Saccharomyces cerevisiae S288C: one gene and its partners. The gene in region 3 interacts genetically with the main gene of each other region. Each region holds a gene or a part of one and is shown on either strand. Other genes may lie near its edges. The genes, in order: FKS3, UBP11, CYS4 and AUR1.

What was found.
Region 1: mutations in CYS4 (region 3) and FKS3 together harm fitness more than expected from each alone (negative genetic interaction), as found in Saccharomyces cerevisiae (one large-scale study listed by BioGRID).
Region 2: of CYS4 (region 3) and UBP11, changing one suppresses a phenotype caused by changing the other (phenotypic suppression), as found in Saccharomyces cerevisiae (one study listed by BioGRID).
Region 4: mutations in CYS4 (region 3) and AUR1 together harm fitness more than expected from each alone (negative genetic interaction), as found in Saccharomyces cerevisiae (2 studies listed by BioGRID).

Annotation. Positions count from the first base shown.
Region 1 is NC_001145.3:878,837-887,016, reverse strand, and holds FKS3 (putative 1,3-beta-D-glucan synthase), read right to left. Parts: upstream 5,859-8,180; coding exon 501-5,858; downstream 1-500. Other genes in the region: 1,3-beta-glucanosyltransferase GAS1, read right to left, coding at 1-14; SCW10 (putative family 17 glucosidase), read left to right, coding at 6,785-7,954. UniProt on the Saccharomyces cerevisiae protein: Required for spore wall assembly.
Region 2 is NC_001143.9:631,055-638,573, forward strand, and holds UBP11 (ubiquitin-specific protease UBP11), read right to left. Parts: upstream 4,126-7,519; coding exon 1,972-4,125; downstream 1-1,971. Other genes in the region: phosphoenolpyruvate carboxykinase PCK1, read left to right, coding at 98-1,747; BAS1 (Bas1p), read left to right, coding at 4,797-7,232.
Region 3 is NC_001139.9:793,286-800,574, reverse strand, and holds CYS4 (cystathionine beta-synthase CYS4), read right to left. Parts: upstream 2,033-7,289; coding exon 509-2,032; downstream 1-508. Other genes in the region: cleavage polyadenylation factor subunit PTI1, read right to left, coding at 1-29; GTO1 (omega-class glutathione transferase), read left to right, coding at 2,707-3,777; YGR153W (uncharacterized protein), read right to left, coding at 3,830-4,483; Ras family GTPase RSR1, read left to right, coding at 5,083-5,901.
Region 4 is NC_001143.9:433,965-437,638, reverse strand, and holds AUR1 (inositol phosphorylceramide synthase), read right to left. Parts: upstream 2,060-3,674; coding exon 854-2,059; downstream 1-853. Other genes in the region: mitochondrial 37S ribosomal protein bS6m MRP17, read left to right, coding at 147-542; BYE1 (Bye1p), read left to right, coding at 2,762-3,674. UniProt on the Saccharomyces cerevisiae protein: Catalytic component of the inositol phosphorylceramide synthase which catalyzes the addition of a phosphorylinositol group onto ceramide to form inositol phosphorylceramide, an essential step in sphingolipid biosynthesis.

The DNA of each region.
Region 1 (8,180 bases), on a different chromosome or scaffold from region 3:
GATTTAAACAACATTGTTGAGATTTAGCTGTGTTTGTTGTTTTTGTTTTATCAGACTTTAAAAATAAAAACTGATTTTGAAATAGCTTAATAAAACGACACAACTATTTATGGATATCTAATTTGTTCGAGGAAAACAACCACGACTTTTCCTCTTAAATAAAAAAATCCGTGTCAACAGTAGTAGAGGGAAAAGTTTTTCAAACCTCGAGGATTATCGGGTATTTTACTAATAAACCGCGCAGGCTGTATGAGGAATACCAAAAGTAGAAATTTCTCATTATTTTCCCGACTTTTCTTTTTCCCATCTCCACGTTTGCGGCACGAAAACTCAGTGTAAAATAAGAAGCAAACAAAACGCGAGCCGCGAAAATATATCGAACTAAAAGTACGCAAAAGAATAGCCAGGGCTGGCCTGTGAATTCATAAAAAGTCTGAGCCGGCTATGATAGGCACCAGCTCGCTTTATCAGCTACTCAAAATAACTTTTTTTTTTTATCCCTATGCGACAGTCCTAAAGGTAGGTAAAGTTGGTGTTGTAGTCAGGATTGTCGATGGAGCATTTGGACCAGTATCGTTGTTGTTTTGGTTGTTAGGTTGGAAGATTCCTTCGAAAAGGGTGCCTTCCAGCAATTCTTGCGGACTAGATACGAAATCACCAGCAAAGAATGGCGCGATGAGCATAAAAAGGAGCACACCTAGCATCACAAAATATAGAGAGAAATATTTTGAAACTATCCTACTTCTTAATGCTCTCTGCTTTCGAGTCAAAATTCTTTTATGCGCGATAATACTTCTTGGATTCATCCAAAATAGCACCATTGTATGCCAGTAATCGATAAATGGTAACAATATTATGGGCGTTTGTATAAATAAGAGGAAGTGACCAAGAAAGAAATCTGCTGCAAAATAACTAGATTCCATAATCTTCACGAAGTATTCTCGTATGGGCTGTAAAATGATAGACCAGCCCATGCCCGTATTGTACCATTTACCATTCCACCATGCCAAATGTGCCTTATTGTTTTTATACTCCCTTGTCAAGAATATCGTCGTAAAGACCTTGAAAAGAATCAGATGCATATTGATGCACGTAATAAGCAGTATCAATGTACGGGTAAAGTTCCAACCTTGTAAGAACCACATCAGTTCGAAATCTAAAAGATAGACCAAAACCGAGAAAGTGTGTGCAATAAACGCAATCACGGCACCTGCGTCTTTACAACAATATGACAATCCAGGAACCACAAAAAGTGAAACCCAAAATAATAGAAAAAGCACTATTGAGTTAAGAAAGATTGGCAAAAAAGTTACGAGCAACAAACGGAAAACAGCGCTAGTTGGTGTTGAGTCAGAGACCCCTGTTTGTGCATTAATGAAAGAAAAAGCGGTGAAGTTGAAGAGGAACACACAGAAAGGTAGAAATAGTTCTGCAAAGAAGACGTTCCAAAACCTCGCTTTCTTTGAATCATGGCCTGAATCTTCGGAAATATCATCTACAGTTTTACTTTTATAGCCCGTAAATCTTGATCGAGAACTCTTGACAAAGTTTGCCCACGATTCTTTTTGATATTTCGTGTTACCTGAGAATAACCAGTGGATAAAGGTTTTATAATCAATGAAGAAATCCATGAATGCGAACTGATGTGGATTGAAAATAAAAGGTGCGAAGCACATCGAAATGACTGTAATCCAAAACCATAATAAGGCGGGTTGCCACATGGAAATAATCGCGAATAATAACATGAAGAACACTTGGAAACCAGAATATATCGATATATTAACAAATCTGGAATAGAGCGTAAAAAAATCGAGGCGTGTTATTGCAAACCCACGACCTGTAGATATGTACTTTGCTCCCCCAAAGGTCAAGTCCATCAATAGAGAATTCGAATAAACTTGGCAGACGAATACTTCAAATAATGGGGCCATTGAAAGAAGATGATGTAGGAACCTTGAAGCTGCTCTCCAAATACCCTTTTCCAAAACTTCTTGAATCAGCAAAGGGGCAAAGGCAATAAAGAAAACAATGAAGATTGATAGTACGAATATCGATACCCAATGCAATGCAGGCTGAATATTATAACAACCAACGGGTGTCTCAAGATTTGTAATTGGTGCATCCTTGTCGTAAAAGCAGGCTATAATTTCATGGTTCAACGCACCCAAGTTTAAAAGCAGAACGAAGAACAGTTGAACCGAAAAGGAAATAAAAAGATTATTCAGATGGAAACCAGGATGTGCATAAAAAAACGATAAAAATCTATCCATGGGAAGTTGTGTCCCCAAATAATAGTACTCCCTTGATAGTAGCTGTTCCCCCATACCTGCACCTATTTTAGTAGTGAAATTCAGGATGGACCCAAATCCCAAATCTCTACCCTTACCACATTGGTAGTAATCACTATGTTTTATCTTTCCACCACGGCAGATTGCGTTCATTCCAGCATATATATCCTCGTTTAAATGCAATCCTCTTTGTGCCTTAGACAGGCCACCACGAGTGGTCATAAAAATGCCATTGAGAAAATCGGGATGCCCATAGTGCAATTTACCACCAATTTCAGCCAACGTTCTAGCAAATAAGGTTCCAAAAGTCTGTTCTTTACCTGCAGCAATATCACCTAACACTCCAATATTTTCTGAAAAAATATACTCTCTTGAACCAACAATAGCGATGGGCGGTGGTTCTTCTTCATATTCAATGCCAGGAATGTATGGGATTGTGGGATTAAGCTCAAGCTCTTCGAACTCACTTAAAACAGACCGTATCTTTAGGCATTCCTCCAAATAATTATCTTGGTTTGCATCAATCACCTGAATATACTCACCACGATAAAATATAATAGAATGGTTCTGATTATCCGATTTTCCATCGCCAAGTATTGGATTGCCCGACAGGCGAATTTTGAATATTGGCTTCCTTAATCCACTTTCTTCGTCAAACTCAGCATAGCCATTAGTCAGGCACGAATAGTACGTTTTCTCAGATTCATTTTGCTCTAATTCTTCCAAAAGGTAAGATATAAACATATTTGGATAGGCTCTTAAAAGTAGTTCTGTTGCCTCCACTTCATCCTTATTAAATTTTGCATATCTCTGCATAGCAACAACCATCCTAAATTTCCTGCTAGCCATATTTTCTAAGTCATTCTCCAATGCTTCATTATTGCCACGATACAAGCTAACTAAAGAGGGGTTTTCAATTCGATACAGTAGCTTAATAGCTTTGGAATAGTTCATAAACCCTGAAAGGGTTCGGTACAAAGTCTGCGTCCGCAATGATGCCCAGATTCTTGTTCTCAGGGTGTACGATGGTTCTGATGAGTTGAAGCCAAAGTAAGAAAATGGCAAATCATTAATTTTCTCCTTAATAAGATCGTCTTCTGTGGGCAACTTCCGGGACTCAGTATGGTCAGAAAGCGGGCTAGACCTTGGATCGTACAGAGCATCCGGAATTTCCAATCTATCTTCATCATGACTGCTCTCTGCCTCTTTCAAAAAGCTCTTTTCCATGCTTAGTAGTTTGGTATCCTTAACAAAACATTCCCATTCTGTAGGGTGTAGATGCTTCAAATACTCAAGCACCGTGATTTTACTTTTAGGAGATTCTTCCCTGATAATTTCCTTCAAGCCCAACAGAATCTTTTCTGAATAATGGGGTACCAAAACGGTAAAAGTTGGCATACAATCCACTGGAACAGGTTCTGAAATGGGGGTCGCCAGGGATTGGGCAAAAAAGGATATCCTTCTTTTTGCCTCTGAATTTGATGGAAAAAATTCCATTGACTTGAACGTTGAATCATCTTGTGCAACGAAAAATGTAGGCGATTTCAGGGTTCTTGTGTCTCCCATTAAGGAGTCAACTTGCTGAAACAAGAGTCTTTGTAAATGTTCAATGGAGAGAAGATGTTCCCTATACATTGATATAACAATGGCATTCCAAACCTGCGATATCAGTATTTTTGCTTTAAATTTTACATCCATCTCTGAAGTAGCAAGGATTTTGGAATATATCCTTTTTGGCAATCGAGAGTATACATTCTTCCATGGCGTGAGAATTGAAGTACCAAGAGAAAATGACAGTACAATGGAAAAAATACAGTTGCAAATAATGTACCAAAGGTAAGTGTCGAGAAAAAACAGGCCCAAGTCAGAAAGCAGCATGAGAACTAATGTAATTTTGGCTTGCCATTTACATAGAATAGGACCCAACAAATATTCACCTTGACATCTGGACAAATCCATAATAGAGAGGACCCTGATGGGGTCCCTGAGGGACAAGGTCAAAAAAAAATAGGACTCAATATATTTCGCCAAATACACAAATACCCATAACCCATAAGAAAACCATTTGCTGCGTCCTGTCAGCTTAGGAAATGAAGCGGTAAAGGTTTGCGATGAGATGTACCTCCGATGTTTTTTGTCTTTATTCAAATATGGACGAAATAAGCCGCCCAAAGGTCTGACAGCAAAAAAAAAAGTGGTTAAAAATGCAATGATTAGTTGGACGATGGACACGATATACGCAGATTTTGAATGAACATCCCATTCGAAAAACCCCAGAACATACACGGAAGGTCCCAAATTGATTGCAAGACAAAAAAGTAAGCCAATCATTCTACTCGATAAATGCTGAGCGCCTGGCCATTCTCGAGGTACAAATCCCCACTCGAACACGGTGGCTAAAATTTGAACTAAACATGCAATTGTGCCTCCAAAGGCAATCACTGATAGTCTAACTTGGGGTGTAGGCTGGTTATTCAATAACTGTATATAATTCTTGGTGTACAAAGTGGGGGAATTAAATGTGGTGAAGAACCAAAACGGTGCAAAATGGATAATCCAGAATCTATTGAAATTGGTAAAACAATGCTTCCAACTTCTGGTTTCTCTATATGTCTTATAAAATACTTTAGACCATGCAACGTCTTTAAAGTAAAGATATCTCTCCTCCAATGGCTTGTCAACTAATCGTTCTCCATTGTTTAAAATAATACGTTCAAATCCTTCCGGGTACCAAAATAATTGATTGATGTCGTCGTAACCAATAATATTCTTGTGGTCTTTTTCTCTTCGTTTCCAGTTCCCCTTTGCGTCTTTTTTGTATACTTGGCCCCTTAGGAATTCGTATAAGGGAGTAATAACGTCATTTAAGTATGAATACTCAGGTGATTTCACCGTTTTTTCGCTACTTGACGTACTAATATCATAATCAAGTGCACATTTGAAAATAAAGCAAAGGCATTCTGGGGCGAATCTGACTTGATTGGCTTCACCCCAGCAAAGCAAATAAAGGGCCAGCTGTCTTATCATATTTTCGGGCGTCAATTTTTTCATTTTCAATTTCCATTTGTAGTCTGCACTTTTCAAGTTTGTCTGATCTTCCAATTGTTCTTGAGTCAGTGTGATCTTTGGATGGTTATTGATGAACTCTTGCTCCTTCTCATTCCATTGCTTAATTTGTTCCTTTATCGATACGCCTCTTTTCTTCGCCATTTTTACGTTTCTTTGGCGTGCCTTTCCATGTAGTCGCATGTTTTGAAACCCGATCTCTTCATCTAAATCGAGCTGAGCGGCAAAATACCATTTTCTATAATTTGCGTGTTCGCCTCCAATATATGAAACATGTAGCGATACTAAAGCATTTTGAGCACCTGTACGACTTGCCCTGGAGTCCAGCTGTCCCATTAAATGTTGATACATATTTTCCATAGAAGATTTCTGGAAGCCAAACTTATCCATGAGCTCCACAAAAATTTCTCTAATTTCCTGCATTGTTATTGGGACTTCATCGTCTTGGCACCAAGCAGGATACTCAACGTCAGTTAGCGAAAACTTGGGACTCATAAAATCCATATTCAACTCCTTAACTTTCCTTCTCAGTATGTTTTTCTTTTCCCAATATGCAGTTCCACAGCCCTTAATGATTAAGTTGTATAGTGGCAAATCCTAGAAGGCATAATTACTTTTGAAGGTTCTCGCCAAATAGCCGCTGACCATGTAAAACTCTTACCCGCATAATTTAACCATCATTGCCGCACTAGGCAAGATGGTCCGATCTTGATGGGCGAGAATGATTAGTTCAGAGACGTGCAACAGCCATATACGAAAGCTGTCTCGGCCTTCACTTATGCTGATACCAGGCACGGTAATAATTAAGAAAGAATGCCTCCCTCTTTCTTTTTCTCAGGCAAGACATCTAGATTTTCTTTTTATCTAAGCCCTCAATGACAAAAATATTTGTTCCTTACATATCCCCAGAGATCTTCGGTCTAGATTTCGCGAAAGACCGTTTGCAGTAATTTACCTTTTTCGGAAAAGTCCTCGAAGATTTCGGACGAAGTAAAACCTGAAGAGAAAAATGCCAAGACTTTTAATTGCGCGAAACAGCGGACAAAAAATTCGCGTTGAAACGTTTGAATATGGTAACAAACGTCGCACGCGTTTGAAAGTTATTCGTGTTTTCATGTGTACAGTAACTTCTCCATCGAGAGCCGTATCCATAAGCCTTCTTTTCCACGTTTGTTTCAAAACTGTAGTATTTATAATGGAGGGAAAGATGTCTGCGTGAAGTTTGTCTTACAGTGTATCTTTGAAGCGTGCATCATATTTTTCCCATTTTAAATTCATCTATTATATAGGCCCAAATAAAAGAGTTAAATACTATACTTTTGCAATATTGAGCTGAACATCCAACTGTCACGTCTCTCCTTTACTATTACTGTTCTTTTTTTCAAATTGTCAAAAGATAGTATTAACGCAAAAAAAGTCTTCATTCCATTATGCGTTTTTCAAATTTCCTAACTGTATCTGCATTATTAACCGGAGCTCTAGGAGCTCCTGCTGTTCGCCATAAACATGAAAAGCGTGACGTTGTTACTGCCACAGTCCATGCGCAGGTTACTGTTGTCGTTTCCGGTAACAGCGGCGAAACTATTGTTCCAGTGAACGAGAATGCTGTTGTAGCTACTACCAGCAGTACTGCAGTTGCTTCTCAAGCAACTACATCCACTTTAGAACCAACAACTTCCGCTAATGTCGTCACTTCTCAACAACAAACCAGCACTCTTCAATCTTCCGAGGCAGCATCTACGGTTGGTTCTTCGACTTCATCCTCACCCTCATCCTCATCCTCAACTTCATCTTCAGCTTCATCCTCCGCTTCATCTAGTATCTCAGCCTCCGGTGCTAAGGGTATTACTTACAGTCCTTACAATGATGATGGGTCCTGTAAATCTACTGCTCAAGTCGCCTCAGATTTAGAACAGTTGACTGGTTTTGACAACATCAGATTATATGGCGTTGACTGTAGTCAGGTTGAGAATGTCTTGCAAGCTAAAACTTCAAGCCAGAAATTATTCTTAGGCATATATTACGTTGACAAAATTCAAGACGCCGTTGATACTATTAAATCTGCAGTTGAGTCTTATGGCTCCTGGGATGATATTACCACTGTTTCTGTCGGTAACGAACTGGTCAATGGCGGTTCTGCCACTACGACGCAAGTCGGTGAATACGTTTCCACGGCCAAGTCAGCTTTAACCTCTGCTGGTTATACAGGCTCAGTCGTTTCCGTTGATACCTTCATTGCTGTTATAAATAACCCTGACCTGTGTAATTATTCTGACTATATGGCTGTCAACGCCCATGCATACTTCGATGAAAATACTGCGGCCCAAGATGCAGGACCATGGGTACTAGAACAAATCGAAAGGGTTTACACTGCTTGTGGTGGGAAAAAGGACGTCGTTATTACCGAAACTGGTTGGCCATCTAAGGGTGATACTTACGGCGAAGCTGTCCCATCTAAAGCAAACCAAGAAGCCGCCATTTCTTCTATCAAAAGCTCCTGCGGCTCTTCAGCTTACTTATTTACCGCCTTCAATGATCTATGGAAAGATGATGGGCAATACGGTGTTGAAAAATACTGGGGTATTCTATCAAGTGATTAAACCACTGAAACTTCATTTACTTTATGATCATTCTTTTTCCCTTTTTCTTAAAAAGCAGCCAAATATGGGGGAAATAAGCCCTTTCCCATATTTGCTCTCCTATTCTTATCACGTTATTGTTTACTTATGTGTTTTGTGTAAAGTATATATTCTATACTCATTTGTGAAAGATTTTTCAATTTGTCTTCCTTTTAGCTACGGGTCCTCGCTGCTCTATAGTTTGTGT
Region 2 (7,519 bases), on a different chromosome or scaffold from region 3:
TTATTTCAGCTTAAACAATAATTATATTTGTTTAACTCAAAAATAAAAAAAAAAAACCAAACTCACGCAACTAATTATTCCATAATAAAATAACAACATGTCCCCTTCTAAAATGAATGCTACAGTAGGATCTACTTCCGAAGTTGAACAAAAAATCAGACAAGAATTGGCTCTTAGTGACGAAGTCACCACCATCAGACGCAATGCTCCAGCTGCCGTTTTGTATGAAGATGGTCTAAAAGAAAATAAAACTGTCATTTCATCAAGCGGTGCATTGATCGCTTATTCCGGTGTTAAAACCGGAAGATCTCCAAAGGACAAACGTATTGTTGAAGAACCTACCTCGAAAGACGAAATTTGGTGGGGTCCGGTCAATAAACCATGTTCTGAAAGAACATGGTCTATCAACCGTGAAAGAGCTGCAGATTACTTGAGAACAAGAGACCACATTTATATTGTCGATGCATTTGCAGGATGGGATCCAAAATACAGAATCAAAGTCCGCGTTGTTTGTGCCAGGGCTTACCACGCTTTATTCATGACAAATATGCTTATTAGACCTACAGAAGAAGAATTAGCCCATTTTGGAGAACCTGATTTTACTGTCTGGAACGCTGGTCAGTTCCCAGCCAATTTACACACCCAGGATATGTCTTCAAAGAGTACTATAGAAATTAACTTCAAAGCAATGGAAATGATCATTTTAGGTACCGAATACGCCGGTGAAATGAAAAAAGGTATTTTCACAGTTATGTTTTACTTGATGCCTGTGCACCATAACGTTTTAACTTTGCACTCTTCCGCCAACCAGGGTATTCAAAACGGTGACGTTACTTTATTCTTTGGCCTAAGTGGTACCGGGAAAACCACTTTATCCGCAGACCCACATAGATTGTTGATCGGCGATGATGAACATTGTTGGTCCGACCATGGTGTCTTCAATATCGAAGGTGGTTGTTACGCCAAGTGTATTAATTTATCTGCCGAAAAGGAGCCTGAAATTTTCGACGCTATCAAGTTTGGTTCTGTATTAGAAAACGTTATCTATGACGAGAAGTCGCATGTAGTCGACTATGACGACTCTTCTATTACTGAAAATACTAGATGTGCCTACCCAATTGACTACATTCCAAGTGCCAAGATTCCATGTTTGGCGGACTCTCATCCAAAGAACATTATCCTGCTAACTTGTGATGCTTCGGGTGTTTTACCACCAGTATCTAAATTGACTCCTGAACAAGTCATGTACCATTTCATCTCTGGTTACACTTCTAAAATGGCTGGTACTGAGCAAGGTGTCACTGAACCTGAACCAACATTTTCATCTTGTTTCGGACAACCCTTCCTAGCCTTGCACCCTATTAGATACGCAACCATGTTAGCTACAAAGATGTCTCAACATAAAGCTAATGCGTACTTAATCAACACCGGCTGGACTGGTTCTTCCTACGTATCTGGTGGTAAACGTTGCCCATTGAAGTACACAAGGGCCATTCTGGATTCTATTCATGATGGTTCGTTAGCCAATGAAACGTACGAAACTTTACCGATTTTCAATCTTCAAGTACCTACCAAGGTTAACGGTGTTCCAGCTGAGCTTTTGAATCCTGCTAAAAACTGGTCTCAAGGTGAATCCAAATACAGAGGTGCAGTTACCAACTTGGCCAACTTGTTTGTTCAAAATTTCAAGATTTATCAAGACAGAGCCACACCAGATGTATTAGCCGCTGGTCCTCAATTCGAGTAAACGAAACATGTTCGTTCGATATGTTCAATCCAAAAAAAAAAAAAAGAATTAGAATTATTTCGACATCATAAATGTTCGTAATATATTATTTTGTCAATTTTTTCTCTTCCCATTTCAGCTTTTTTTTAATAACTGAAACTGGATCAACAAGCACATGTTTTTCTAATTAATCTTTCAAACATATTTATGTATATACATAAGGAAAATTCAAAAATCCGATGCAATTAACAGAATTCTTCTTCATAGTTCTCTTCATCCATTCTTTCGTAGAATAAGACGTATACCTCATCGCTAGACATTTCTGTTTTGCCGGCTTCAAAGTTGTTGCGATCCTTGCGATGTTGCTGTATATAATCGTCATCAAATGTAACCCAAACTTGTCTATTCAGTCCAATTTCATGGCTCTTTTCTTTGTTCACAACAGAAGTATAGTGTCCATTGATAAGGTTACCGGAATGATTCACCGTTCCATATAACTTGTATCGAATCACTTTACCGTTCTTTAAAATAATGTTCAATATCAAAGGGTAGGTTATTACAGTGCTGTTTTTTTTTGTTAAATCATAATAGAACCTTGATAAATGAATGACAAGTATCGGAGGTAAAACTATAAAGTCTAAACTCTTAATCGTGGTTAACTTTTTAGAATTTCGCTTCTTTGCATTTTTTGTTGAATCATCGCTGCTATGGTGATGATGGTGATGATGGTGGGGTGATTTTGACCTTGATCTGGAATGAAAACCGAATATGGTTGATTTTTTCTTCTGGCTAGTAATTTCTTCTTTTTTGGATTTAGAATCAGTAATTCTACAATTAGGACAATCCCAAGCATTGTCGCCTGACAGTTCTTCATCGCCTGTAAATAAGTTTATGCAATCCTCTAATTTAATTTTTCTCGACTTACTTGTAAAGCTATACAATGATAGTTTTGGAATCGCAAGTGACAGAACATAGAAGGTAGAATAGCTATAAGAAGAATTACCACAGCGCTGACATTTCAAAATGTTCTCCAACTGCCCTCGATATATGTGATCAATTGGAGATAAACCATCAGTAATAACATTTCTCTCGTACCATTTCTCGTATTTGGATGGGTTAACTTGTAAAGCATTCGCATCATATGACACTAGATCTGGATAATACTTGACAACATTTTCGTTCGAGAGCTCTTCATGTATTCGTGCTAAAACTATTAGTAGAAATTCCTGTGTATCCTGTTGATCATCTGGGATGTTCAAATCTGGCCTTAACTTCTTGCACATTTTTAAGAATCTATTTGGTATAATCGCTCTTCCTCCATTCAAATACATTTTTTTGAACAAAACGTAAATCGAGCGGGAAAGTTGGACTTCTTTCGGATATTTGTTAGTATTGAGGAATAGCCTATATTTCTTGGTTAAAAACAAATCCCGAAATAAGGTAGTGCCAAACAGACATTGAATTATACTGTTAATATAGCATGTATTGCATGGATTTTGCAGGCCAGTAATAGATAACTCTGATAACAGATCATTAGAATCTTCAATTACTGGTAGATTGTAAGCTTTCGGGGCCGAAGATTCTATGGCCTCGATCTTTCCTTCTTCCTCCTTTGGCTTTTCCACCTTGGATAAAGAGGATGAAGAATCTTGGCTAGAATCTCTGATTTGTGACGAAACCTCCAAGGAGTGCACGGGGGGAGCAGTTGCTGGACTAGACAGCGTTTTGAATAATGCATCCTTTCCAGTACTGAGTTTTAAATACGAGGGTTTTGATAATGCTTCTTTGCTTGTGTAGTACGCCACTTCAGAACCAGCTTCCAATTTATTACTTGATGCTATCTGATTACTTTCCCTGACTATGTCCTCTTTCGAATTATCATTTGTTGGTTTTGTTAGCTCATTCGGTATTTCATGTAGTGAGCCATCAAACTTGTTATGTATTGACAAAGAGGCCATATGAACAGGTAAAGGCCGTAGCGGTAAGGAGTAGGCTCTTTTTCTTTTTATGGTCCTGCAAATTCCGTTTGACTCCGCTAAATACCGGTCAACAATAACAGTACTTTCATCTCTTACCACTTTTAACACATAACCCATCACGTGTTCGTCTTGATAGTCGTTTTTTAGCTTTGCGTAACTGCTGTAGAGATTATTTCTTGTTTGGAATTGTAACGATTGTGGAATAATAAGGTACAGATAATAACAACCAATAATAAATGCTGTCAAAGCTTCCATTTCCTGATTGATTTCTAAATCCCTCAGGTAAACATTAAACAGATGAGCAGCATGGTCTAACAATCCTCTTAAGTTCTTTAGCCGTAATTGCGAATAAAACTGTTTAATATCTACTTCATATACTTTTCGAACTAGGTTTAGAATTTGATCTGGGTTTAATAACATTGTCTTTATGACTTCCGATTTAGCGAAAAGAAAACGGAAAGTAAGATCAATGCCACGGTTATTTAGTTTACTGAAGATCCTGAAAGACTACTAGCAGTAGCAGTAACCTTTCAGAGCTTATAATCAACCTAATGATTACTCAGCGCACAATCTAAAAGGGTTTCTCAACTAATTCTCGAAGAAATGTCAATCCCTTTTTTAAGCACTCCGGAAAAACTTTATAATAGATGTGGGGAAATCACCTTTGACGATGTGCAACGGAGAAACTATTTTTTTTTTTCTTTTTTTCTTTTTTTTTTTTTTTTTGGTCCGAACAATGCGATGAGCCAGACGAAGAAAAAAATAAAAAATGAGAATGAGTAATTATGTTAAGACCTTTAGAAGAAATAGGGTCCAGTCACAGAATAAAGCCCCAGGAAACTTTAAAGCAATCGAAATTAACCAGCTATATTTATATAATAAGAAATTTTTCTTATTAGTTTACTATAAAGGACTAGTGTACGTTTTTTGTGTTTAATTATTTGCTTTCTGATAATCCGGTTTGCTGATTTGAATCGTTCTCTGCAACAATTGTTGATCTCTAGTGGGGTAAACAAAATTAGTTTTGTTTAAAACTTTTGTTGTAGCGTTTTTGCTCTTTTTTTTTTATCGCAGAATACATTTTATCGAGAATGTCGAATATAAGTACCAAAGATATACGAAAAAGTAAGCCAAAAAGAGGATCCGGCTTCGATTTACTTGAAGTGACTGAATCACTTGGCTATCAGACACACAGGAAAAATGGAAGAAATTCATGGTCAAAGGACGACGATAATATGCTACGATCGCTAGTAAACGAATCCGCAAAGGAGTTAGGCTATGAGAATGGACTTGAAGACGTAAAAACAATTCAACAATCCAACCATCTTTCTAAATGTATTGCTTGGGATGTTTTAGCTACACGATTCAAACACACCGTAAGAACTTCAAAGGATGTAAGAAAGCGTTGGACAGGATCTCTGGACCCAAACTTGAAGAAAGGTAAATGGACACAAGAAGAGGATGAGCAGCTCTTGAAAGCTTATGAAGAACATGGGCCTCACTGGCTGAGTATCTCCATGGATATCCCTGGAAGAACAGAGGATCAATGTGCGAAAAGGTACATTGAAGTGTTGGGACCTGGAAGTAAAGGTAGATTAAGAGAATGGACGCTCGAGGAAGATTTAAATCTGATAAGTAAAGTGAAGGCATACGGCACGAAATGGAGAAAGATTTCGTCGGAAATGGAATTCAGACCAAGTTTAACGTGCAGGAACAGATGGCGGAAAATTATTACTATGGTTGTGCGAGGACAAGCATCAGAAGTAATAACAAAGGCTATAAAAGAAAACAAGAACATAGACATGACAGACGGAAAACTCCGACAACATCCAATCGCCGATTCTGATATACGCTCAGATTCTACACCGAATAAAGAAGAACAGTTGCAGCTATCTCAACAGAACAACCCTTCATTGATAAAGCAGGATATATTGAATGTTAAAGAGAACGAATCGAGCAAACTACCAAGATTAAAGGATAATGATGGACCCATTTTAAATGACAGCAAGCCACAAGCATTACCTCCCTTAAAAGAGATATCTGCACCTCCACCAATCAGGATGACGCAAGTCGGTCAGACTCATACCAGTGGTAGCATTAGGAGCAAAGTATCTTTACCAATTGAAGGTCTTTCTCAAATGAACAAGCAAAGTCCTGGAGGAATCTCAGATAGCCCACAGACAAGCCTTCCCCCAGCATTCAATCCAGCATCTCTCGATGAGCATATGATGAATAGTAATAGTATTTCAGATTCTCCGAAGCATGCTTATTCTACTGTGAAAACTAGAGAACCAAATTCCTCTAGCACACAATGGAAATTTACATTAAAAGATGGTCAAGGTTTGTCAATTTCTAACGGAACTATTGACAGCACAAAATTAGTAAAAGAATTGGTTGACCAAGCTAAGAAGTACTCTTTAAAAATTTCGATACATCAACATATTCACAATCATTATGTTACATCCACAGACCATCCTGTCAGCAGCAATACTGGATTGTCAAATATAGGAAATATAAATGGAAACCCTCTATTAATGGATAGTTTCCCACATATGGGTAGACAACTGGGAAATGGTCTTCCAGGGTTAAATTCAAATAGTGACACTTTTAACCCAGAATATAGGACTTCTCTGGACAACATGGATAGCGATTTTTTATCAAGAACACCCAACTATAACGCATTCAGCTTGGAAGCAACTTCACACAATCCCGCTGACAATGCAAATGAACTTGGTTCACAAAGCAATAGAGAAACAAACAGCCCGTCTGTATTTTATCCTCAAGCAAATACATTGATCCCAACTAATTCTACCGCTACAAATAATGAAATCATTCAAGGAAACGTTAGTGCTAATAGTATGTCACCGAATTTCAATGGAACAAATGGCAAGGCACCAAGTTCGACGGCATCATATACAACGAGCGGTTCAGAAATGCCACCTGATGTAGGTCCTAATAGAATAGCGCATTTCAACTATTTGCCACCAACTATACGGCCTCATTTAGGCTCATCAGATGCGACAAGAGGTGCTGACTTGAATAAGTTACTCAATCCATCTCCAAATTCAGTAAGAAGTAACGGCAGTAAAACTAAGAAAAAAGAAAAAAGAAAAAGTGAATCATCTCAGCATCATTCTTCATCATCTGTGACAACCAATAAATTCAATCACATTGATCAGTCGGAGATATCAAGGACTACATCCAGATCTGATACTCCATTGAGAGATGAAGACGGCCTGGATTTTTGGGAAACGTTAAGATCCTTGGCTACTACGAATCCAAATCCTCCAGTTGAAAAGTCAGCTGAAAATGATGGTGCCAAGCCTCAAGTGGTACATCAAGGGATTGGCTCACATACAGAAGATAGCAGCCTAGGTTCCCATAGCGGAGGATACGATTTTTTTAACGAACTGTTGGATAAAAAGGCAGATACACTGCATAATGAGGCTAAGAAGACGAGCGAGCATGATATGACGTCAGGAGGTTCTACCGATAATGGGTCAGTCCTGCCACTGAATCCTAGTTGAGAAGGCAAGGCCGAAAAAAAACACAAATCTTTCAATTGTTTAACATATTAGTTTTGTAATAAGCATAAGTGTATATTATACATAGCACAAGATGGATAATATTCTCTGAAAAAAACGTGTAGTTTCATGACTCGCATTTTTTTTTTTTTTTCTTTCATGTTGATTAACATACTTGAATTCTGTATTTAAGCTGTATAAAAAGTTGTTCTATTTCATATACGGCGATTTTGCATAATTAAGAACTTTGCCTTGTACACTATTTTACTAGGGTATTCTTCCAAGATTTC
Region 3 (7,289 bases):
CGGCCTGTTCTTCTTCTGGGATCTGTCATCAATTTTTTTCCTTCGTTCTTCGTTCTTCGTCTTCTCCAGTTGTGAGTTTTCTAAATATACCTATATATAAAATAATAAAATCTAATCAATGCAACGTGTTTGACAGTGACGTTTACAGATAGGACGACCGGATGAGCGACTGAAAAAGGTGCTATTATGAATGCACGGTTTCGCAAGACCTCAAACAATCGTACTAGTATTTCTGAAATTCTGCTTTACTGCCCGACCTTTCCAACATGTCGCTGTTTTTTTGTTTTTCTTCAGAGTCGGGTAAGAGCAATAAAGTGAAAAGTTAACAGATTCAAACACTGATGTGATGCATGCATGATAAGGAATTTGTAAAAATAATAGAACAATGCTGCTTCGTATAGGCGCTATTTAATTAAGTAGTTATATAAAGAGAACGGTGCAATTGAATAGGAAAGGAATGACGGATTTTGCTTCTATGTTTGCTTTTATTTGAAGCGTGGGTTCTTATTTATGCTAAGTAGCTCAGTAAATCCATCTTAGTAACGATATGGATTGGTTTCAAGCCATCAGTGATAACGGCAGATGAGTTTTTTTCAAAGAAACGATTCAAGTCAGATAGCTTTGAGTTTTCATCGAATTTAATAAACTTCTTCTTACCGGATTTATTTTCGTTGTAAGAGGAAACATCATTGAAATTGTTTAATTTCTTGAAGTCCAAGTATTTACCCTTTATAGTGTTGTCGTTGTTTGAATTATTGATTGATAGTTTTCTTAGAAGCTCAGAGAGAGTAACTAAACCAGACAACTTGCCGTCTTCAGTCAACACAGGCAATTGGTCAAAGCCATTGTCTTTTAATATCTTGATAACATCAGTGACCTTAGCGGTTTCCTTAACGGAAACAACCGGTTTCAAGTGAAGATCCTTTACAGTAGCGTTACCAAACACATCAGCGTATTTTGTCGTCGAAGCCTCCAGCTTTGAAGAGTCAAAACGGGCCAACACGTCATCATCCCACAAATTGTTCTTTTTCAACCATTCGTCATCGACGAATTTGGTTAGGTACGACCTGATGGAATCTGGGAATATGGCAACAATGACATCATCTTCAGTCAGTTCAGGGTGGTCTTCACAGTATTTCACAACCGCAGTGAAGGCAGAACCGGAAGAACCACCCACCAAGACACCTTCGTTAGAAATCAATTGTCTGGCGTATTTGAAAGAAGGCTTGTCGTCTGTCTTATACCAAACATCAATTAATTTTCTGTCCAAAACCTGAGGAACAAAATCATAACCAATACCCTCAACTTTGTAGTCAGTGATATCAGTCTTATTCAAGTTTTCAGGTTGGGCTAAAATTGAACCGAATGGGTCAGCACCAACGATTTGGATCTTATCATTCTGTTCTTTCAAGTACTTGGAAATACCGCTAATAGTCCCACCAGTACCAGCACCAGCAACAACAGCGCGTAGATTATCAAATAAATTCAAGTCTTCTAGCTGTCTTTGGATTTCGCGACCAGTACCAAAGTAATGAGCTTCTGGGTTCATCATATTGTTATATTGGTCAAGTATAACAGCACCAGGAATCTCTTTTTCCAACTTCTTAGCAACACCAATATGTGATTCTGGAGAATCCCAGGCAGCAGCAGTTGGAGTTCTGATGATTTCAGCACCCAGAGCCTTTAGGACAGAAACTTTCTCGTTAGACATTTTTTCCGGCAAGGTGATGATAGTTCTGTAACCTTTGATGGCGCCGATTAAAGCTAGACCGATACCGGTGTTACCAGAAGTAGGTTCGATCAGAGTAGATCTGGAAGGATGAATTCTACCGGAAGCTTCAGCTTCTTCCACCATAGACTTGGCAATTCTGTCTTTGATGGAACCACCTGGATTGTATAGTTCCAGCTTAGCATAAATTTGTGGTTTGATACCCAAAGCCTTAGGCAATTTTTTCAGTGCGATCAATGGGGTGTTACCAACTAAGTCGATAACGTTATGTCTTGAATCGGCTTGCTGCTCAGATTTAGTCATTTTTATTCTTACGTCGTATTTATCTAGATGTCCTTTGAGCAAGTGGCCTACAACGAAATCTTCAAGTGTTGCCTTTTACTTTGGCATAGAAGCATCACGACATTTATATATACAAGCCTGGTGAAGTGCCTTGCGTTTACTTTAACCTTTAGGAGAAAAAAATTTTCGGTGTTGGTTTCTTTTTTTCCTTTCGGTGCAAAACTGTGGAGGAAGATGGCAATAAATTAGTGAAACGGTAATGCCGTGTGGACTGCATATGCCGGATATAGCATTTATCAGTCACGACAGAGCTGATTATCCTTACTTGGGTGAAGTTGAAGTTGTTGTGATAAGGTTAGAATGCAAATGAAGCTTTGTCAGCGCTGAGAAAGAAAATTTTGTTTTGTGAGCCACTACTATCACGTGCCATTACCATTTTAATCAGTTATGAAATAGGGGAATGTGTCATTGAGGGAAAATGTAATGGCCACCAAATGAATCAGAGGGTCGGATGAGAACACACCCTTACTAACTGCTGTTCATATCTCACAGTTGCCATTGATAAGCTCTGGTGGGAAAATACCCTTGATTTTTGGTAGCACATATTGACATAACAAAAGTCTTGACTTTGCCAATTGGAGAGATGGCCACTTATAGAGGAAAATACTCGTAAAAATAATCATAAACAGTAAGCCATGTCAGTATCTTACAAGGGAACAATTTCTAAGACACATTCTGTTTTTAAACCAGAAAAAGGAAGGTATTATATTTACGGGGCCCTTGGGTGTCCATTCACTCATAGAGCCATTCTTGCCAGGTCTTTGAAGAAATTAGAACCTGTTCTAGGGCTTGTGTTATCTCACTGGCAATTAGACTCCAAGGGTGCCCGTTTCTTACCTGCTCCACACCGGCCGGAAAAATATAAAGAGAGATTCTTTACTGCCACTGGTGGCATTGCTTCAGCTAAATTAGACGAATCTGAGGAGTTAGGTGATGTGAACAATGACTCTGCAAGGTTGTTCGTGGATGGCGCTTTCGACCCGGTGGAAAATATATCAAGGTTAAGCGAGTTGTACTACTTAAATGATCCTAAGTACCCCGGTACAAAGTTCACTGTGCCTGTTCTGTGGGATTCTAAAACAAGGAAAATTGTTAACAATGAGAGTGGCGATATCATAAGAATTTTGAACAGTGGCGTGTTTGATGAATTTATCCAAAGCGAAGAAACGAACGTGATTGATCTAGTTCCGCATGATTTAATAGACGAGATTGATAAGAACATCAAATGGGTTCATCCGAAGATTAATCTTGGTGTCTATAAAGTCGGATTAGCAGAAAACGGAAAGATTTACGAAACTGAAGTAAAAACACTGTTTGAAAACTTGCAGAAGATGGAATGTGTACTAAAAGAAAATTATAAGCGCTTAGAGGAGCAATTCAGTGGTAACAAACAGAAAATCTTGGCTAAATATTTTGTTTTAGGACAGAGGTTAACTGAAGCGGATATCAGATTGTATCCATCAATAATTAGATTTGACGTCGTGTACGTGCAGCACTTCAAATGCAATTTGAAAACTATAAGGGATGGTTTCCCGTACCTTCATTTGTGGTTGATTAATCTATACTGGAATTACGCAGAGTTTAGATTTACTACAGATTTTAATCATATTAAGCTCTTTTACATCAGGATGGAAGTAAGTAGGAACAAGATCAATCAGTTTGGTATAGTGCCATTAGGCCCAAAGCCTGACATTTCTAGATTATGAAAACTTCTAATATTTTCTTACACACACATATATTTATATGCATGGCTATACTTCAAAAGAGGTTGTCACTTCCATTTCCATGTAGGTAAAACTCGTGTATAGACGGAACACAGACTTCCCTAGTTTTATTGACTTCATAGTCTCTGCACCATTCAATTATGTCTCTGTAAAAGAGACTCTTCTTTATATCGCCCTTTTCTATATTCTCCATCTCCAGTTCTTTGAAGCATTTTGCTTTTCTCGATTTATGACAACCACACGGTTTTACACTCTCCTCTCCATGTTCTACCATTTCATGCCTCCAGTCAAAAAATGGTTGACTGTATTCCCTACTTGAATCCATACTTGATTCAACAAGGTAGTTTCTCGAATTCTCAGGTAGTACTGCCACCCTCCTTAAACGTTTCTCTCTTTGTCTTGCTTCCTTTCTTTGTTCTATTTTTGGCGGAATGGTAAATTTCACAGGATTCTTGGATCCATTCTCATTTTCATTCAAGGCATTTAAGTCCAAGGAAAATAACCGTATGCTCACGTTGGACCCTTCAAACGTGAAACTATCTTCACTCAATATACTTCCTACACCGCATTGTTCCTCGTTACTACTTGAATCCTGTATATCTGAGAGAGAGGTAAAAAATGAGTAGGTATCTCTTTCCCCCTCACATTCGTAAGTGCCGACTTCTTTATTCAAACAGGCCTTTCCCATTTCTCAAAGACCTCTTTTCGTAACCTATTTAGTAATGATGAAAAGTATTAAACAGTATTTTCAAGATAAGAATTTTATTATTTTGTACCATTTACGATACACATAAACCCCAGAAAAAAACAACTTTATGGGAAAAGGCGAATAGTACTCATAATATACAAGGTAAAAGCAGGCGTATCTCAGTCATACAGTTCAATAGAGAAAGGCATTTTTGGAATATCATACATTTTATCTAGCAAGTGGAAACAGACTGTATATTCCCAAGAATCATCGCCTTTTTATCACAACGTCAGCCTCACAACTAATTCGCGTCAAAGCGCATTCATCCTCGACATTCTCAAACGCGAAATATCGTCGAAAAAGGTTAAAAAGAAAAGAGAGAAGGACAGAAAAAGAAAAAAGTAAAGTAGAGCTCGATCTCGAAAAAAAGAACCATTGCGTTCGTTCTTAACTACGCCAAGAAGTTTTTGAAATTTCATCCTCTCCACTGAACAATAATACTATTATTTAGTAACGATATAGAACATTTACATACAACGTTCTAATATTTTGGCTTCTATCATCGCTTAGAAATATTTGGCTAGGAAACATTAGGACTAATGAGAGACTATAAATTAGTAGTATTGGGTGCTGGTGGTGTCGGTAAATCCTGCTTAACCGTGCAGTTTGTACAGGGAGTTTATTTGGATACGTATGATCCAACGATCGAAGATTCTTACAGGAAAACCATCGAGATCGATAACAAGGTATTCGACCTGGAAATTTTAGATACAGCGGGTATAGCACAATTTACTGCAATGAGAGAATTATACATAAAGTCAGGAATGGGGTTCCTGTTGGTATATTCAGTAACAGATCGGCAATCTTTGGAAGAATTAATGGAGCTAAGAGAACAGGTCCTTAGGATCAAAGATTCCGATCGCGTTCCAATGGTTCTAATAGGTAACAAGGCTGATCTAATCAATGAAAGGGTAATAAGTGTGGAAGAAGGTATAGAGGTAAGCAGTAAATGGGGTAGAGTTCCCTTTTATGAAACAAGCGCTTTGTTGAGGAGCAATGTGGATGAAGTGTTCGTTGATTTAGTTAGGCAAATCATTCGGAATGAAATGGAAAGTGTTGCAGTTAAAGACGCAAGAAATCAAAGTCAACAATTTAGCAAAATCGAGTCTCCATCAACCAGGCTCCCTAGTTCTGCGAAACAGGATACGAAACAATCAAACAATAAGCAATCATCAAAAGGTTTATATAACAAATCTTCACAAGGACAAGCTAAAGTTAAACAATCTACTCCGGTTAATGAAAAGCACAAACCGTCACATGCCGTTCCGAAATCTGGTTCTAGCAACAGGACAGGAATTAGCGCTACTTCACAACAAAAGAAAAAGAAGAAAAACGCTTCCACTTGCACTATTCTATAGTCACTTAATTTTATTATAAATGAATCAAGATATCAGATAAAAAGACTTTACTTGAAATAGTTTTATTATAGTTCTAAAAGGTTTAGTTTAAAGTATTAGCATACGTTGTATAAGTTTTTAAAGAAATCAATTAATAATGTTTGAAAATAAATTTAAACCCAAAAAAAATGAAATGTTAAAAATATGGACGCAACCGGAATCGAACCGATGACCTCTTCCTTGCAAGGGAAGCGCGCTACCAACTGCGCCATGTGCCCGCAATCTATGGGATTTTACGGTAGATGCTGCGTTACGTATAAAAAATATTAAATGAACAGATCCACACTCTCGTAACTAAAGCTCACACTGTAGTTTCTTATAGTTTATGTTGATTGATATAATTAATTCAGAGGGTCTTTAGTCTCAGATATACTTCGCAATTACTTAAAAGAGTAATCGTTAATGTTTTCCCTCCAACATAGTCGTTATCGTTTAGCGTGCGTTATCAAGTTTCAACGATGACAAAATGATTGATTAATTAGTCCATTTTTCTTTCCTATCTAGTAAAATCAAAGTGTTTCTTCTCAACCTGAGATCTAACTCACTGTATTGATATTGAAAATCTGAGTAGTCTTCTAAAAAGCACAGAAATTAGGCCGATGTTTTCGACTTCATATCTCGTCGTGAGGCTGTTTCGCACGCCTTTTATTTGTTTAGATCGGACATTTAGGGTGATTCATATCAGGTCATATTGCGGCATCTCATCTCAAGAATAAAATAGAATTACTGTGTTTGACAATGGTCTATCGTCCACTGATGGAACAAAAGTCGGGAGCAATTCTTGTAAATGGAAGAATACAAAATGGCCACCAGTAGCGGTGAAAATGGTTTAGTAGTCATCCCTCCTTTAATACGAAACATTCAGTGGGTCTCCGTGAACGTCTCTATTCTATTTTCGATAATCGATCCACTGACTCTCAGGCGCTTCTTATATTATCTTTCTCGATATTATAAATCAGCCGATACAGGGTTACACCAAGTGTCTTTACATAATCCTGACTATCATGACCTACTTCCAATCTTATCATCTAAATGACTGTACATTCGTTCTTCTCTCATAATGCTTGCTTGCTTGTGAAAAATGGGTGAATAATTGCATTATTGTTGGGATTCCACTGTTGATAAAGATCACATATAACATTATGGATAAGGAATATACTAGAAACTCTCCTCCAGAACATAGCGCCCACAAAAGGGAATCGATATCTCTACATAATGCTATTATTTTTTCTTCCTTGTCGCACATTATCTTACTTCATCATCAATCCTCGTGTCTCTGCTTACATTAAGTTTGATGACCGTTTCTCAATCTTTATGACATCTTCTTACACAGTGTATTGCAAAGTACT
Region 4 (3,674 bases), on a different chromosome or scaffold from region 3:
TCTATCTTTTCGCAGTTATCATCTAACCCGGAAAAGTTTCAACAAGACTTTAGCCTTTTAATGGAAACTCCCACTAGTTCAGCTTAAACAAAATAGAAAAGCTTCAACAGAGGAAAGAATAACGCAAAACCACCCTTTTCACTAAGATGCTTTATGAGCTGATCGGACTTGTTCGCATAACCAACTCCAATGCGCCAAAGTTGGAAGCAAAAGAATTGTCTTCCACAATCGGGAAACTGATTATTCAAAACAGAGGTGTGGTGAGGGACATTGTACCCATGGGCATAAGGTATCTTCCTAAAATAATGAAGAAAGACCAGGAAAAACATTTTCGAGCATATCACTTTTTAATGCTGTTTGATTCATCAGCTGCGGTACAGTCTGAAATTCTAAGAACTTTAAAGAAAGATCCCCGTGTCATAAGATCATCCATCGTTAAAGTTGATTTAGATAAGCAGCTGGATAGAGCCTCATCGTTACACCGTTCTTTGGGGAAGAAGTCTATTTTAGAATTAGTGAATGAAGATTATCAATCCATTTAGGTATAGCGCACAGGTTTTGACTGGGGACGCTACAAACACATGTAAATACATACATATCTTTCATACACATATAATAAACAAAGCAGGAAGAGCATTCTAAAAGCCTCACTTAACATAGACACCATTAAAAGCCACCCATTTATTTCAAAAATTTATAAAATTCTAAAGATAATCAGTGGTATGTGATTAAATAAACTACATGTATATTATGCTAAACGACAATCCTGACTAAGAAAAAGAAAGAAAAAGATATATATTTATATGTATCTACATAAGACCAACCGTATCCGTAATTGCAGATAAAATACTCATTAAGCCCTCTTTACACCTAGTGACGTTATAGACGTGGCGGACGAACGAGAAACAGAAGTAGATCCATCAAATAACGAAGGGCTTACACTGGGTTCATCAGTCATATTAAGATCAAAGTCAAGTTCCAAGTTGGACAAAGGGACACTTTCGATATCGTTTGAATCTGCAGCCAATGGATCACTCTTTGATATATCGTATTTCTCAATTGAAGTGTATGACCATCTGCAAAAAAGAGATGTATCTACAATTGGTAAATGTGTGTACTTTGTGTACTGGAAAATAACGTATGACAGCACAGAACCTGCCATAAGGTCTACAAAATAATGGTGTGTCAGATACATAGTTGACCACCATAACCAGCAAACATAAGCAATAAACAAGGGCTTCAATTTTGGAAAACAATAACAGAAAAACAGGGCTTCCATAGTAGCACACCCGGAATGCAGTGAAGGAAAAGCACCGAAAATGACGGAGGAATTTGAAAAAGCTGTAGTATACATATTAATACCGAGTAGCTTATCAATTCTAGCTAATCCACCAGGCGAGCCATGCATATCATAGTTGGCTGATTGCAATCCATAGAGAATTTTATACCATGGGGGAGCGGCTGGAAAGACATTTTGCATGATAACACCAAACAGGTTCATATAACCAAATGCAAAAGCATAACCTTGCAAAACAGTTGGTGGACCAAATACGAATAAGATGGCAGCAACGACAAATGGGGCCCCAAAATGAAATAGTCCGTACGGTAACCATGCTAAAATGTCCAAAAAGGAATTCGTCGATGTTGCAAGAATATCACTTAAATTGTCGCCGTATAAAATTGTTTCCACCGCTGGTAACACTTTGACAGTAATAGGAGGCCTGCGGTCATCTGGAAAGTACGATGAAGTGAAATACAGCGCCACCCATGTTAGGATGGGCAAGGCATTGAAGAAAAACTGTGACGTAGCTGGAATGATGAATAAAGTGCCCAAGAAACAATAAAAAAGGATCTTGAAGATCCAAGGTGCGGGATTAGTAATGAACACAAACAGCATGATGGATCCCAAGAAGATGTAATGCACCCAGTCGCTTAAAGCGGGTTTGTATTTTTGCACCTTCAACAACGTTTGATGGGGATCTAAACTTGTTTCTAAATCGGCTACATGGCAGTTTGGAGGTCTCTCTGATAGAAACCATCTCGAAAAAGGGTTTGCCATACGCAAAGGAATGATTAAAAGCTTTTTAAAATATGAAAACCGCAACCTGTAGGATATAAAATAAAGTACTTTTGGAGAAAATTCAAAGATCCTTGGGCCAAAAGCTATACCCAAAGTAGCTCAGTGTGAAAAAGGAAAAGGATAAACTTATGAAGTACTTAACAACAACCAAAAGTGAGCGATCGGACTAACCAACTACCTAAGAGATGTAGCAGTAGAAATCCTACTCTGTTGGTTCACGAACAAAAGTCGCTAGTGTTCTTACGCTATGGTAACTGAAGCAAAAAATACGCCTCTGCAGTAGTACCAAATCAGAAAACCACTTTGTAACAAATATGAACACTGATGGGCACTTTATTATTCTTTGACAGAAAGAAATAAAAAAGCGATGACCCGCCAAGCAATGAAGTTGATATTCTTTTGTTGTGGTTTTTTTAGCTCATTTTTGTTTTTTCCTTTTTTCAGTTTTAGGATCACTCTTCACGAATAACTTTTCATATCATTTCTGGGAGCTGGGGAGAGATGGATACTATTTCACAAGACATGCAAAGGGATGCCCAGACTGCAGTTTGGCCAAAAGGCTTGCAATGAAAGAGGATAGGTTGACGAGATCTTAGTATTTTGACTTGTTCTATACACAGGGAGCTATCGATTATCCTAGGTTCTCTTTTACTTTTAGCTTTTATTTAGTTTAAATTTATTATGTCTGTCCGTACTTCTTCAAGATCTAATAAGGGTCAGAATAAATATATTGAGTATTTGTTACAGGAGGAGACTGAAGCACCAAAGAAAAAAAGAACTAAAAAGAAAGTTGATTCAGCCATAGAGAAGAATAAGAAGTCTGATTCTTCTCAGGAGCCAAGGAAAGATACTGAAAATGTAAGAACAGACGAAGTAGACGAAGCGGATGAGGGCTATGTTAGATGTCTGTGTGGGGCGAACAATGAAAACTACGATGCTGCAGAATATTCGCATGGCGACATGGTACAGTGCGATGGCTGTGACACTTGGCAGCATATTAAATGTATGACTGATGGTAAAGACACCATAGATGGGCTAATGAGTGAAGATTCTAAGTACTACTGTGAATTGTGCGACCCATCATTGTATGCACATTTGGAAACGTCAAAGGAGGCAGAGGTTTCAGAGGATGAAGATTACCATGATGATGTTTACAAGCCCGTAAATGACCATGATGACAATGATGCAGATGTCTTTCTTGATGAGGAAAGCCCTAGGAAACGAAAAAGGAGCCCCGATAGTGCCAAAGGAATTCATATCAAATCCAAACAGGTGAAGAAATCCAATGGGTCAAAAAAAAGGAATAAAAGCATTGATGCCGCCAAGTCTGATACTGCCGAAAACGAAATGCCTACTAGGAAAGATTTTGAAAGCGAAAAAGAACACAAACTGAGGTATAATGCAGAAAAAATGTTCTCTACCTTATTTAGCAAATTCATCGTTCCCGAAACAATTGAGGCAAAACTTTATGAGCTTCCTGATGGGAAAGACGTTATATCGATATCGCAAGAGTTTGCGCACAATCTGGAAGAAGAACTTTACAAAGCTTGCCTTAACGTCGAGTTTGGTACTTTGGACAAGATATACACAGAGA